3 linked regions of the Macaca fascicularis genome follow. The protein of the gene in region 1 interacts with the protein of each later gene in a pairwise test. Links are inferred from orthologs where the notes say so. Each region holds a gene or a part of one and is shown in the gene's direction. Other genes may lie near its edges.

Region 1 (4,163 bases):
TTGCCTAGGCTGCAGTGCAGTGGTGCAATCATAGCTCACTACAGCCTACAACTCCTGGGCTCAAACGATCCTCCTGCTTCAGCCTCCTGAGTAGCTGGGACTACAAGTGCATGCCACCAAGTCCAGCTAATTTTTAAATTTTTCTGCAGAGACAGGGACTCGCTATGTTGCCTCGCTGGTCTTGGATCCTGGCCTCAAGCAATCCTCCCTCTTTGACTTCCCAAAGCATTGGGATTAGGTTTGTGAGCCACCGCTCCCAGCCCGTTTATCTTTTAGGGAATATAGTGACTCAGGCAAGAGACATGGTTGACTGTGTGCCCTATCCTCTTTTGTCTTCAAAGGGTCTTCCCAGAGACTTCAGAGTCAGAGGCTTTGTGAAATTATGTTGCCAAGCAGAATTGAGCAAGTCTGGCTTCTTACATTTGTTACTTTGTCTCACAGAAGATGGGGAATCCTAAAATACAAATTTTGGCCTATAACTTCATACTGTGTGGGATACTGCTTTGGTGAAGTCCGTTTTATTGTCATCCCTTTCTTTTTGTAAGTTAAAAAAATTTTTTTTTGAGGCAAGGTCTCACTATGTTGCCCAGACTGGCCTCGAACTCTTGGAATCAAGTTATTCTCCCACCTCAGTCTTCATCCCTTCCTAGCTAGTGAAAAACAAATACTATGCAGAACTCCGGGTCCTCTTTTCTAGGGCAAGCAGGGGAGCCGGAGGGTCTGGTAGGTCCCAGTGAGGTGACTGCTCCAGCACTTCATCTTTGGGAACATCGGTCTGGTGCCAGTTTGACCCAGGGAACGGCCTAAGTCGCCCGCAGGCTCCTAAGGTCCTCGTCTTTCCGGGTGGCAAGACATCTGATCCATCTCGAGAACAAGTTCCCGGTTGCTTTAGGCGCTTTGTTACTGCTGACGCTGCTGGTGGCGGTTGGGCTCTCGGCTGGGAAAGGCGCAGCTCGTGTGTATGGCTCGGGAGGGGGCACTGAAAAGGTCTTCCTGGAGGGCTTCCTTCAGAAGGAAACAAATTGGGAGTTGTTGGCGGTCCAGACAGTTCGGCAAAGTGCAGTGTCCCTCCTTGGGGAATTTCGGAAGGATCCTGGCCCGGGGTACTCCAAAGGTCCAGCGCCCATAGGTCGAGGGTAGGGGGAGGTACCAGGCACCGCAGCTTGGCCCCAGGGGACATCTTCCCTGCCCCACGCATCCAATAGATGACCCCAGCTGAGGCCCACGCAGCCAATAGCCGACTTCAGCCGAGACCCAAGCAGCCAATGGCCAGCCCAGTGCACTTCGCCCGTGCCCGCCCGCCTGCGCCCACCAATCAGGACTCGGGCCACCTTGGCACCGCCTCTGGACGCCCACCCCACCCATCCGCCCCGCCTCCAACTTGCTCGAGCAGGGCTGGGTAGACCGGCGCACTCCCGGGGGCGGTGTGGGGGGGCAGTCCCGGTTTCGGCCATCGCTCGGGTGGGCTCGGAGCGGCCGCACCGGGCAGCAACCCCACTCCCACTCGGAGGCCCCCTGCCCTCTCCCCCACTTCCCCCCGGCCCATGGTGCGAGGCTGGGAGCCGCCGCCCGGGCTGGACCGCGGTGAGTGATCCCCAGCCCCTTGGACTTCCCCTCCCAGCTCGTGTACGGTCTCCCACCTCTGGAGTCCCATCCCCGCGCTGGTGGGGGGAGAATTCTAGGTTCGAAGTGGCTCGGTTCTCTCTTTTTTCTCCTCTGGACTTTTCGGTTCCCTGTTGTAACTAGGGGAGGGTAAGTGTCTGTGTAGGGGAGGGCAAGAAGGTTGGGTTGGGGCGCCCTTGGCGAGAGTAGGATTGAGATTCGCCTGCCTCATGGGGCTCATCGTCCCAAGTGCAACAACTTTTTGTTCCCTGACCCAGTTCGGAGCCTTCTGGACTGCCTGTGAAATGGAGGATAGGAGAAACATTTCCTTCCCAGGCCCCCCCCGACGCCACACAAACCCCCAACCCCCATGGCTACCTCCTGGCGACCTCAACACACGTGCAGAACCTGGCCTTGCTTCTGGGGGATCAGCGGCCTTTGGGAATGAAAGGTTTAGAAGAAACTGCCCCTCTGATTCCCGTACCCAGCCATACTCAGAAAACCAACCAGGAAACTGAGAACCCGAGTCCTCTGGGGTTCCTAGTGTTGCGTCCTATTCTGAGACTCCTAAACTGAAAGAAGACTCAAGCTGAGACCTGTTTGGTAATGTGGGCCCAGATCAGGAGATTTTTTTTTTTTTTTGTCATGTGAGCCTCTTTCCCATCATACACTTGAAGCCCTTTTATATTACATGATTAGGTTAGATGGTTGTAATTGAAAAAACCAGATTGGGAATTTTAAAGATAATGCATACATATCTTGAACATTATAATTAAAAGTATGTCCATTTCACCAATCTTTTGATGTAGTGGTGAGACTGTTCTTGTGTCTAAGACTGCTGTTCGGAGTTCCCAATTCTCTTTCCAGTGTTAACTACACAGGGAGTCTCAAACCTGGCTGTACCCTGAGAACTTTTTAAAAAACTGTGGATGCCTGGACCCCAGTACAGACTATTGAATCTGAATGGGGAGGAGAGTGGCCTGGTTTTTAAGCTTCCCAGGTAATTCTACAGTGCAGTCTGAGATGAGAGCCACTCAGGCACTTTCATCATCTTTGATTTCCCGTTTTGCTTTATTTAAAGTGAAGTAAGAATTCAGACGCTTTTGAGTGCAGAGTACTTTTGAGATTAAGTCCCACCCCTCAATCTTTTGCAGTTGTCTTGCTCACTCCCAACTCAACAATTTTTAAAATGCATACTCTTCTTTGCGTTATGTCTCTCCAAAACATTTGACTTAGTTTTCATAGGACCAATTTTTAAAAAATCAGTATTCCTGAAGGAACAGTTTTCAATGCAGTGATTTTTCATAGGTTTACATGAGGTTTAATTACATTATTATACAGACACTGAAAAAGTGTGGACATAAGCAGGTTTGTAATCACACAAAACTGGCCCCAGCACACAGGACAACTGAATGAAGCAGATGATTTTGGCGCACTAGTAGTAGCCTACTGGCCTTTAGTTTCCAGTGCACCATGGTATTGGTCATGTAATCCAGTGGGTCAGTTAAGCCAGGCTCCTGGCCCAGGTGAGCATCCTTCCCTTCCACTCTTTCCAACTAATATCACAATTACCTTGTCCCTTCTAAACGCACTTGAATTCCTGAGTATTCCATCAACTCTTTACATTCGTTCACATCAAACTGTTCGTCTTTAAGTGATTACCACTATTGCCTTTGTTAAGTTGGAAGGATATGAGGCAGTAATCCTTAACCTGGCTTCTTGGCAGTCACTAAAGGCCCTGAGTTTACTGTGTAAGTGTGAATGTTTATTTCGGGAAGGTTGGTCATAACTTTCTGAGGGTCTGTAACTTTTGTCTGATTCTCAGAGGTTCATGAACTAAAAAGTTAAGAAGCATATAAGCTGAATATCACTATACATCTTTAAGGCCCTTAAAACTGTATCCCCAAACACATTTCAGGAGTACTTCAGACTGCCTCTAAATAAAGATTTAGGGAACTCTGCAGGATCATATCTCATTTCCCACTTTATTTATTTTTATTTTTTATTTTTTGAGACAGAGTCTCACTCTGTCCCCCAGGCTGGAGTACAGTGGTGTGATCATGGCTCACTGCAACCTCTGCCTCCCAGGTTCAAGCGATTCTCCTGCCTCAGCTTTCCCAGTAGCTGGGACTACATGCGCATGCCACCATGCCTGGCTAATTTTTGTATTTTTAATAGAGACGGGTTTCACCGTGTTGACCAGGCTGGTCTCGAACTCCTGACCTCAAGTGATCCTCCCGCCTCGGCCTCCCAAAGTGCTGGGATTATAGGCGTGAGTCACTATACCCAGCCTTGCCTCCCACTTTAACTGTCTCCTAATTTAACGATAGGCCTAGGTTCAAACCTAAAGTTCTAGAGTCCTCTTTTTCCTAGGACTGTGTAAACACAGAAACTGGAAGTTTAAGACAGTCCATTCTTGTTTGCCATCTGTCCAGGGATATGGAAAGCCCAAGGGGAAAGAAGGGTGTTATACTGACTCAGAGAGAGAGTGAGAATTTTTTTTTTTTTTGAGACAGAGTCTCACTGTCGCCAGGCTGGAGTGCAGTGACACAATCTTGGCT
Region 2 (3,500 bases), on another chromosome or scaffold:
AGGTGATCGAGAAGCCCGAGAACGACCCCGAGTGGTGGAAATGCAAAAATGCCCGGGGCCAGGTGGGCCTCGTCCCCAAAAACTACGTGGTGGTCCTCAGTGACGGGCCTGCCCTGCACCCTGCACACGCCCCACAGATAAGCTACACCGGGCCCTCGTCCAGCGGGCGCTTCGCGGGCAGAGAGTGGTACTACGGGAACGTGACGCGGCACCAGGCCGAGTGTGCCCTCAACGAGCGGGGCGTGGAGGGCGACTTCCTCATTAGGGACAGCGAGTCCTCGGTAAGTGCGCTGCGCCCGCAGCTCTGGCTGGAGGCAGTAAATGCGCCTTGCACAGTGGCTCTGTGTGCCGCGCCCATTTCACATTGTGTGAGTACACTAGAAAGGCGAGAGATGCAGATGAATGCAATTTAGTGTAATGTTTGCTACTCCGTGATTTCCTTGCATCTGTTTTGGGGATCGTGGGTGTCCATTTCTGGAGATGGGAGGTTAACTGAAAAAATGTTTGTAGCTGACAAAGGTGGTTCTGCTTCTCTCCGAAGATTGCCCCTCTTGTATTTTACAGACTCAAACGTCATTTTCTCTCCTGGTTGCCCATTGTGTGTACGTAGAAGGCCCCAGTGATTTACTTTGTTTCCACTCGGTCTGTTTCCCAGAGAAAGCAATCTTTGCAAGACTGGTGGCGGGTTTCTGACACCGCCTTTTGTTGTTTGCTTGCTTTCTCTTTGTAAACCGTATAATCCCAAGGTCATTGCCACGGCAGGCAGCGCCACTGAGTTCATCTCTGAAAAGCTTTTAAAGCACTTACGAGATGAATTGTAAAGAAAACAAGGGTTCTTGAGAGAGATGAGTTTTGTGTGTGTGCAGTGAGTGGGAGATATGAAGCCACTGGACTGGGGCAGCAGACCCACTTCCAGGGGTGGGCAGGCTGGGGGCAGTGAGTTTCAGACGTGGGGGTGGAGCCTGCATCCCAGAAGGCAGCCTTTTCGTGTGTGAAGGAAATATTCGACCAGTTTTGCAAACGTCTTTACAAATACACCTTCTACAATCGAGAGACTTCCAAAACAAGCATTTAGGAGTTTGATGTATTTGAATTGTATTGGTTCTAGTAGGCTTCAATTTCATTTTTAAATGCACACTGTAAGACTAGTAAGTATGTACTACCTGCTGCCCCTGCTGTCCTCTGAAAAGGTTACTGGCACAATAAATAAGTGCACATTCAGGAGTCCTGTTGACTGATCAGAGAGGCATTCAAAGCCCTCCAGAGAGAGGCAAGTGGGATCTTCTCCTCTTTGAGGAAGGAGCATCGTGGTGGTGGAAACTGGACTCCTTTGTGGTGTCATCAGTTTTGCGGAGCCTTAGATGTGCTTGGACGGGAATGCCAGCCTGAAAGCTAACTTCATCTGAAATCTGAACTCTGAGATTTTCTTATCAAGTCACCAGAGTTTATCATTCCTGGCAAGACATCACATTGAATTGTTCTCACATGACGAGAGCTCTGTGCACCATTTCCTTTAGATCGGGTTTGAAGCCTTAAGCAAATTAAGGACAGCAGCGCTTTTAACTCAATCGAGCAGAAACTTAGAGAAACTGCTGGAAAACCAATTACAATATTAAGTGCTTGGTCCAGAGTCCTTAAGGGCTAAGTATAATGCACAAAATATGATCTTGGCTTAAAATGTTTGAGTTTGAAGAGACTTCTCAGAAGGAAGGCCTGCAGTGTGGAGACATTGCTCCCAGTCGTTCTTCTTTCTGCCTAAGATTTGGGGAGATGAAGAAAGACTTTAGAGAGTAGATGAAAAAGGTGTTCTCCAGGGTTGCTGGCCTTAGGGAGGACCTATGGCTTTTCTGTGGAACATGCACAGGTGGTCATTGTTGTCTGAATTCAGGGACCGGATCCCTTTGGATAAGGAGGGATGCATGCATTGGCTGGGTTTCATCTCAGAACTCTACACCCCACTGTCTCAGTTGCCTTGCATTGTTAGAGAATGAGCTCACTTTTTCAAAAGTACTAAAGCACTAATTGTTTGTATTTCCTTTTAACAATTTTTTAATTGGGGGCCTTTCAAGATGTTTTGCATTCTCTCCTAACTTAGAAAGTCAAGGAGCAACATGTATGATTCCAGGAATATAGGGTGGAAAGGGCTTTACTGGCACTTGCATCGGCTCTGCACACATAGCAGCACCGTCTTGGTCTGAGGCTCCACGTGGCCTGATGCTGTGCAGGGCAGCTTGTCCTGATGGATCTTGCCGTGACACAGGCCATTTTCAGCGGTTAGTGTGCATGCCTTGTGCCACGGGGATTCTACAAGAGCCCTGAGGTGTGTGGCTTCTTTTCTCCTGACCGCAGAACCGGGCCAGGTTTGCTGCGTTTCCTGTTCATGACCAAGGCTGTTCTCAGCTGTCATCTGTGACTGCCGGGGACCTGTCCTGGTGGACAAGTGGACAAGTCCTTTGCTTGTTTTTTTTCCCCACCATCCGCTGCCTCCCCCCATCCCCATGTGTTTCCCTGCTCATTTTGCCATTTCTCAGGTTAGAGCTGGCTTTCACAGCCACCACCAGGCCACCAAGAGCCCTTAGGTTCACGGTCTGACATAATTCCTTCACAGCATGCCGGGACGGAAAGGTTTCTGAGGGGTTCAGCCTCCCTGCAGGACTCAGAGGCAGGCATCTTCATTTAATTTCCTTTTTTCTTGGAATCTTTGGGCCTGGACCTTTCGTTGAGGTTACCACATGAAGCCTGGCTTCTGGATAAGCACAGCTGTTTCTTCTGGAATGGATCTTCAACATGCGTTTCAGTTTTTAAAATACCCTGAGTGACTGCAGTGTAAATGAGCTAGACCCTTGCTTGATGACATTGAGAGGTGCTTATTTCAGGGAGGACAAACATTGCCACATCCTGCACTATCCACTATCAGTAAGTGCTGGGTATTTCAGAAGTATCTGTTGGATATGTTAGATGAATCAGTGAACTAACAAATGAACGAACCTGTTGGGCCCTCTTTCCTGTCCTGAACGTCAGTGCCTACTGCTTGTTCTTCCCTTTCTTCTTCCTCCCTCGCTCTCCTCTCTCATCTACAATTGTCGTTTATCCTTAGCAGCTAAAGGTGATATATTGTTGGTGCTTATTCTCCATATTTCATTATCATACCTTCAGCTGTGAGCTATACCTGCTTAAATCCAGAAAACTCAGAAATCCTACTCACCCGGTGTGTGTCCCTCATAAATCCTTTTATATTTTGTCCACATTGATGCTATGGATGTGGCTAGAAAGCTGTACTTAAAATGAACAGTAACCCTTTACTGGGTTTCTGGTAAACTGTACAAGTTGTCAGTATTTTATTAATTGCTGCATCCCCCATCCTTGTAAAAGTTGTTCAGAAAGTGACAGATCACAACTAGGATATGGTTGGAAAAGGTGCACAGCTGGCCTGGGTGACTTGCTGGACAGCATCAGCCACAAGTCTGGGAAGCCATTTTCCTCTGTAAGATTTTAGATAC
Region 3 (3,530 bases), on another chromosome or scaffold:
TCAAATGGTATTTCTAGTTCTAGATCCTTGAGGAATCGCCACACTGTTTTCCACAATGGTTGAACTAGTTGACAGTCCCACCAACAGTGTAAAAGTGTTCCTATTTCTCCACATCCTCTCCAGCACCTGTTGTTTCCTGACTTTTTAATGGTTGCCATTCTAACTGGTGTGAGATGGTATCTCATTGTGGTTTTGATTTGCATTTCTCTGATGACCAGTGATAATGAGCATTTTTTCATGTGTTTGTTGGCTGTATGAATGTCTTCTTTCGAGAAGTGCCTGTTCATATCCTTTGCCCACTTTTTGATGGGATTGTTTGGTTTTTTCTTGTAAATTTGTTTGAGTTCTTTGTAGGTTCTGAATATTAGCCCTTTGTCAGATGAGTAGATTGCAAAAATTTTCTCCCATTGTGTAGGTTGCCTGTTCACTCTGATGGTAGTTTCTTTTGCTGCACAGAAGCTCTTTAGTTTAATTAGATCCCATTTGTCAATGTTGGCTTTTGTTGCCATTGCTTTTGGTGTTTTAGACATGAAGTCCTTGCCCATGCCTATGTCCTGAATGGTATTACCTAGGTTCTTCTAGGGTTTTTATGGTTTTAGGTCTAACATTTAAGTCTCTAATCCATCTTGAATTAATTTTCATATAAGGAGTAAGGAAAGGATCCAGTTTCAGCTTTCTACGTATGGCTAGCCAATTTTCCCAGCACCATTTATTAAATAGGGAATCCTTTCCCCATTTCTTGTTTTTGTCAGGTTTGTCAAAGATCAGATGGCTGTAGATGTATGGTATTATTTCGGAGGGCTCTGTTCTGTTCCATTGATCTATATCTCTGTTTTGGTACAAGTACCATGCTGTTTTGGTTACTGTAGCCTTGTAGTATAGTTTGAAGTTAGGTAGCATGATGCCTCCAGCTTTGTTCTTTTGGCTTAGGATTGTCTTGGCAATGTGGGGTCTTTTTTGGTTCCACATGAACTTTAAAGCAGTTTTTTCCAATTCTGTGAAGAAAGTCATTGGTAGCTTAATGGGGATGGCATTGAATCTATAAATCACCTTGGGCAGTATGGCCATTTTCACGATGTTGATCCTTCCTATCCATGAGCATGGTATGTTCTTCCATTTGTTTGTGTCCTCTTTTATTTCACTGAGCAGTGGTTTGTAGTTCTCCTTGAAGAGGTCCTTCACATCCCTTGTAAGTTGTATTCCTAGGTATTTTATTCTCTTTGAAGCAATTGTTAATGGGAGTTCATTCATGATTTGTCTCTCTGTTTGTCTGTTATTGGTGTATAAGAATGCTTGTGATTTTTGCACATTGACTTTGTATCCTGAGACTTTGCTGAAGTTGCTTATCAGCTTAAGGAGATTTTGGGCTGAGACGATGGGGTTTTCTAAATATACAATCATGTCATCTGCAAACAGGGACAATTTGACTTCTTCTTTTCCTAATTGAATACCCTTTCTTTCTTTCTCTTGCCTGATTGCCCTAGCCAGAACTTCCAACACTATGTTGAATAGGAGTGGTGAGAGAGGGCATCCCTGTCTTGTGCCAGTTTTCAAAGGGAATGCTTCCAGTTTTTGCCCATTCAGTATGACGTTGGCTGTGGGTTTGTCATAAATAGCTCTTATTATTTTGAGATACGTTCCATCAATACCGAATTTATTGAGAGTTTTTAGCATGAAGGGCTGTTGAATTTTGTCAAAGACCTTTTCTGTATCTATTGAGATAATCATGTGGTTTTGTCTTTGGTTCTGTTTATATGCTGGATTACATTTATTGATTTGCATGTGTTGAACCAGCCTTGCATCCCAGGGATGAAGCCCACTTGATCATGGTGGATAAGCTTTTTGATGTGCTGCTGGATTTGGTTTGCCAGTATTTTATTGAGGATTTTTGCATTGATGTTCATCAGGGATATTGGTTGGAAACTATTATTATGGTTACATTTTACCTTTGGGAGGTCCATGAGTCCCATGAAATTGGAGGCAAACTCTATTCATGTATATATTAATAACTCTTCATGAGCATACATGGTTCTTCTCTGGGGAGATGATCAGTAGTCTTGGTCAGATTTTAAGCAGCCTGTGAACCTGAAAAGATCAAGACTCCATGCCATGGATGATGGTTCTGATCACTCCCCACTGGCCCTGCCCCCACAGGCTGCCCAGAGAAAACTGCGCCAGGCCAGCACCAATGTGAAACACTGGAATGTCCAGATGAACCGGCTCATGCATCCAATTGAGCCTGGAGGTGAGAAGGGATAGACTCTGGAGCTTTCCCTGGAGCTGGGCGAGAGAAAAGAGGGAGAAAGGGATACCTCCAGATCTCCTAGGGCCAGCAAAGGTAGGACTGGCAGTCAGGAGGCTCCCCTCTCCTCCAAGGGCTGAGGCAAGGCCCCTTGCCTCTCGCCTTTGCATGCCTTTCTCCTTACTTGCCTGCCTTCTCTCTGCCAGATAAGCGTCCGGTCACCAGCAGCTCCTTCACAGGCTTCCAGCCCCCTCTGCTTGCCCGCCGTGACTCTTCCCTAAAGCGCCTGACCCGCTGGGGATCCCAGGGCAACAGGACCCCTTCGCCCAACAGCAATGAGCAGCAGAAGTCCCTCAACGGTGGGGATGAGGCTCCTGTCCCGGCTTCCACCCCTCAGGAAGATAAACTGGATCCAGCACCAGAAAATTAGCCTCTCCTAGCCCCTTGTTCTTCCCAATGTCATATCCACCAGGACCTGGCCACAGCTGGCCTGTGGGTGATCCCAGCTCTTACTAGGAGAGGGAGCTGAGGTCCTGGTGCCAGGGGCCCAGCCTCCAACCATAAACAGTCCAGAATGGAACCTGGTTCACCCTTCATACCAGCTCCAAGCCCCAGACCATGGGGACTGTCTGGGGTGTTGATCCTTGAGAACTTGCCCTGTGCTTTAGACCCAAGGACCCAACCCCTGGGCTGGGAAAGAGTGAACAAGCAAGCTGGGGCCACCTGCCCCCAGGTGGCCACCAAGTTGTGGAAGCACATTTCTAAATAAAAACTGCTCTTAGAATGAATTATTGGCTCAGGTCTGTCCATCTCTCCTGCCACTTCCTCCCTTCCTCCCTCAAGCCCAGTTATAGGTTCCAAAGGGCAGTAAAAGTATAATAAAGTGGTTAGGAAAGACCCTGCAGCTAGACTGCCTGGGTTCTGAACCTGGCTTTGCTACTTACTAACCGATTGACTTTGGTCAATTTTCTTTATATCTCTGTGTTTCAGTTCCCATGTTGGTAAAATACAGATAATGATTATACTTACCATATAGGGTTATATGAGGATTAACTGGCACATGAGCGAGCACCATTATTAGTATCAGCCAAAAGTGTTTATTAAGTGTCTACTACAGTTTTCCAGGTGATTTAATTTTCATGACAACTCTCAGAACTGGAAATCATCATTGGCATTTTACAAATGGATGAATTGAGGTTCGGGGAGATTTGGTAACTTTCCCAAAGCCTTTCAGACTTGCTTTTCTTCCTGTAATCTCTGACTCGCTGACCTTGTTACCCAAGACAGA

The links. The genes of interacting proteins can lie anywhere in the genome.
Region 2: the proteins of HOMEZ (region 1) and NCK2 interact in binary tests that used the Homo sapiens proteins (3 or more experiments, as listed by UniProt). The two-hybrid records come from large-scale screens. The link is inferred for Macaca fascicularis from reciprocal best matches to the Homo sapiens genes HOMEZ and NCK2.
Region 3: the proteins of HOMEZ (region 1) and DEF6 interact in binary tests that used the Homo sapiens proteins (3 or more experiments, as listed by UniProt). The two-hybrid records come from large-scale screens. The link is inferred for Macaca fascicularis from reciprocal best matches to the Homo sapiens genes HOMEZ and DEF6.

The regions. Positions count from the first base shown.
Region 1 is NC_088381.1:91,054,605-91,058,767, reverse strand, and holds the start of HOMEZ (homeobox and leucine zipper protein Homez), read left to right. Parts: upstream 1-1,363; 5' UTR 1,364-1,544; coding exon 1,545-1,584; exon of another isoform or gene 1,585-1,752; intron 1,753-4,163. UniProt on the Homo sapiens protein: May function as a transcriptional regulator.
Region 2 is NC_088387.1:10,312,471-10,315,970, forward strand, and holds part of NCK2 (cytoplasmic protein NCK2), read left to right. Parts: coding exon 1-281; intron 282-3,500. UniProt on the Homo sapiens protein: Adapter protein which associates with tyrosine-phosphorylated growth factor receptors or their cellular substrates. Maintains low levels of EIF2S1 phosphorylation by promoting its dephosphorylation by PP1.
Region 3 is NC_088378.1:136,373,120-136,376,649, reverse strand, and holds the end of DEF6 (differentially expressed in FDCP 6 homolog), read left to right. Parts: intron 1-2,154; coding exon 2,155-2,245; exon of another isoform or gene 2,246-2,338; intron 2,339-2,448; coding exon 2,449-2,672; 3' UTR 2,673-3,030; downstream 3,031-3,530.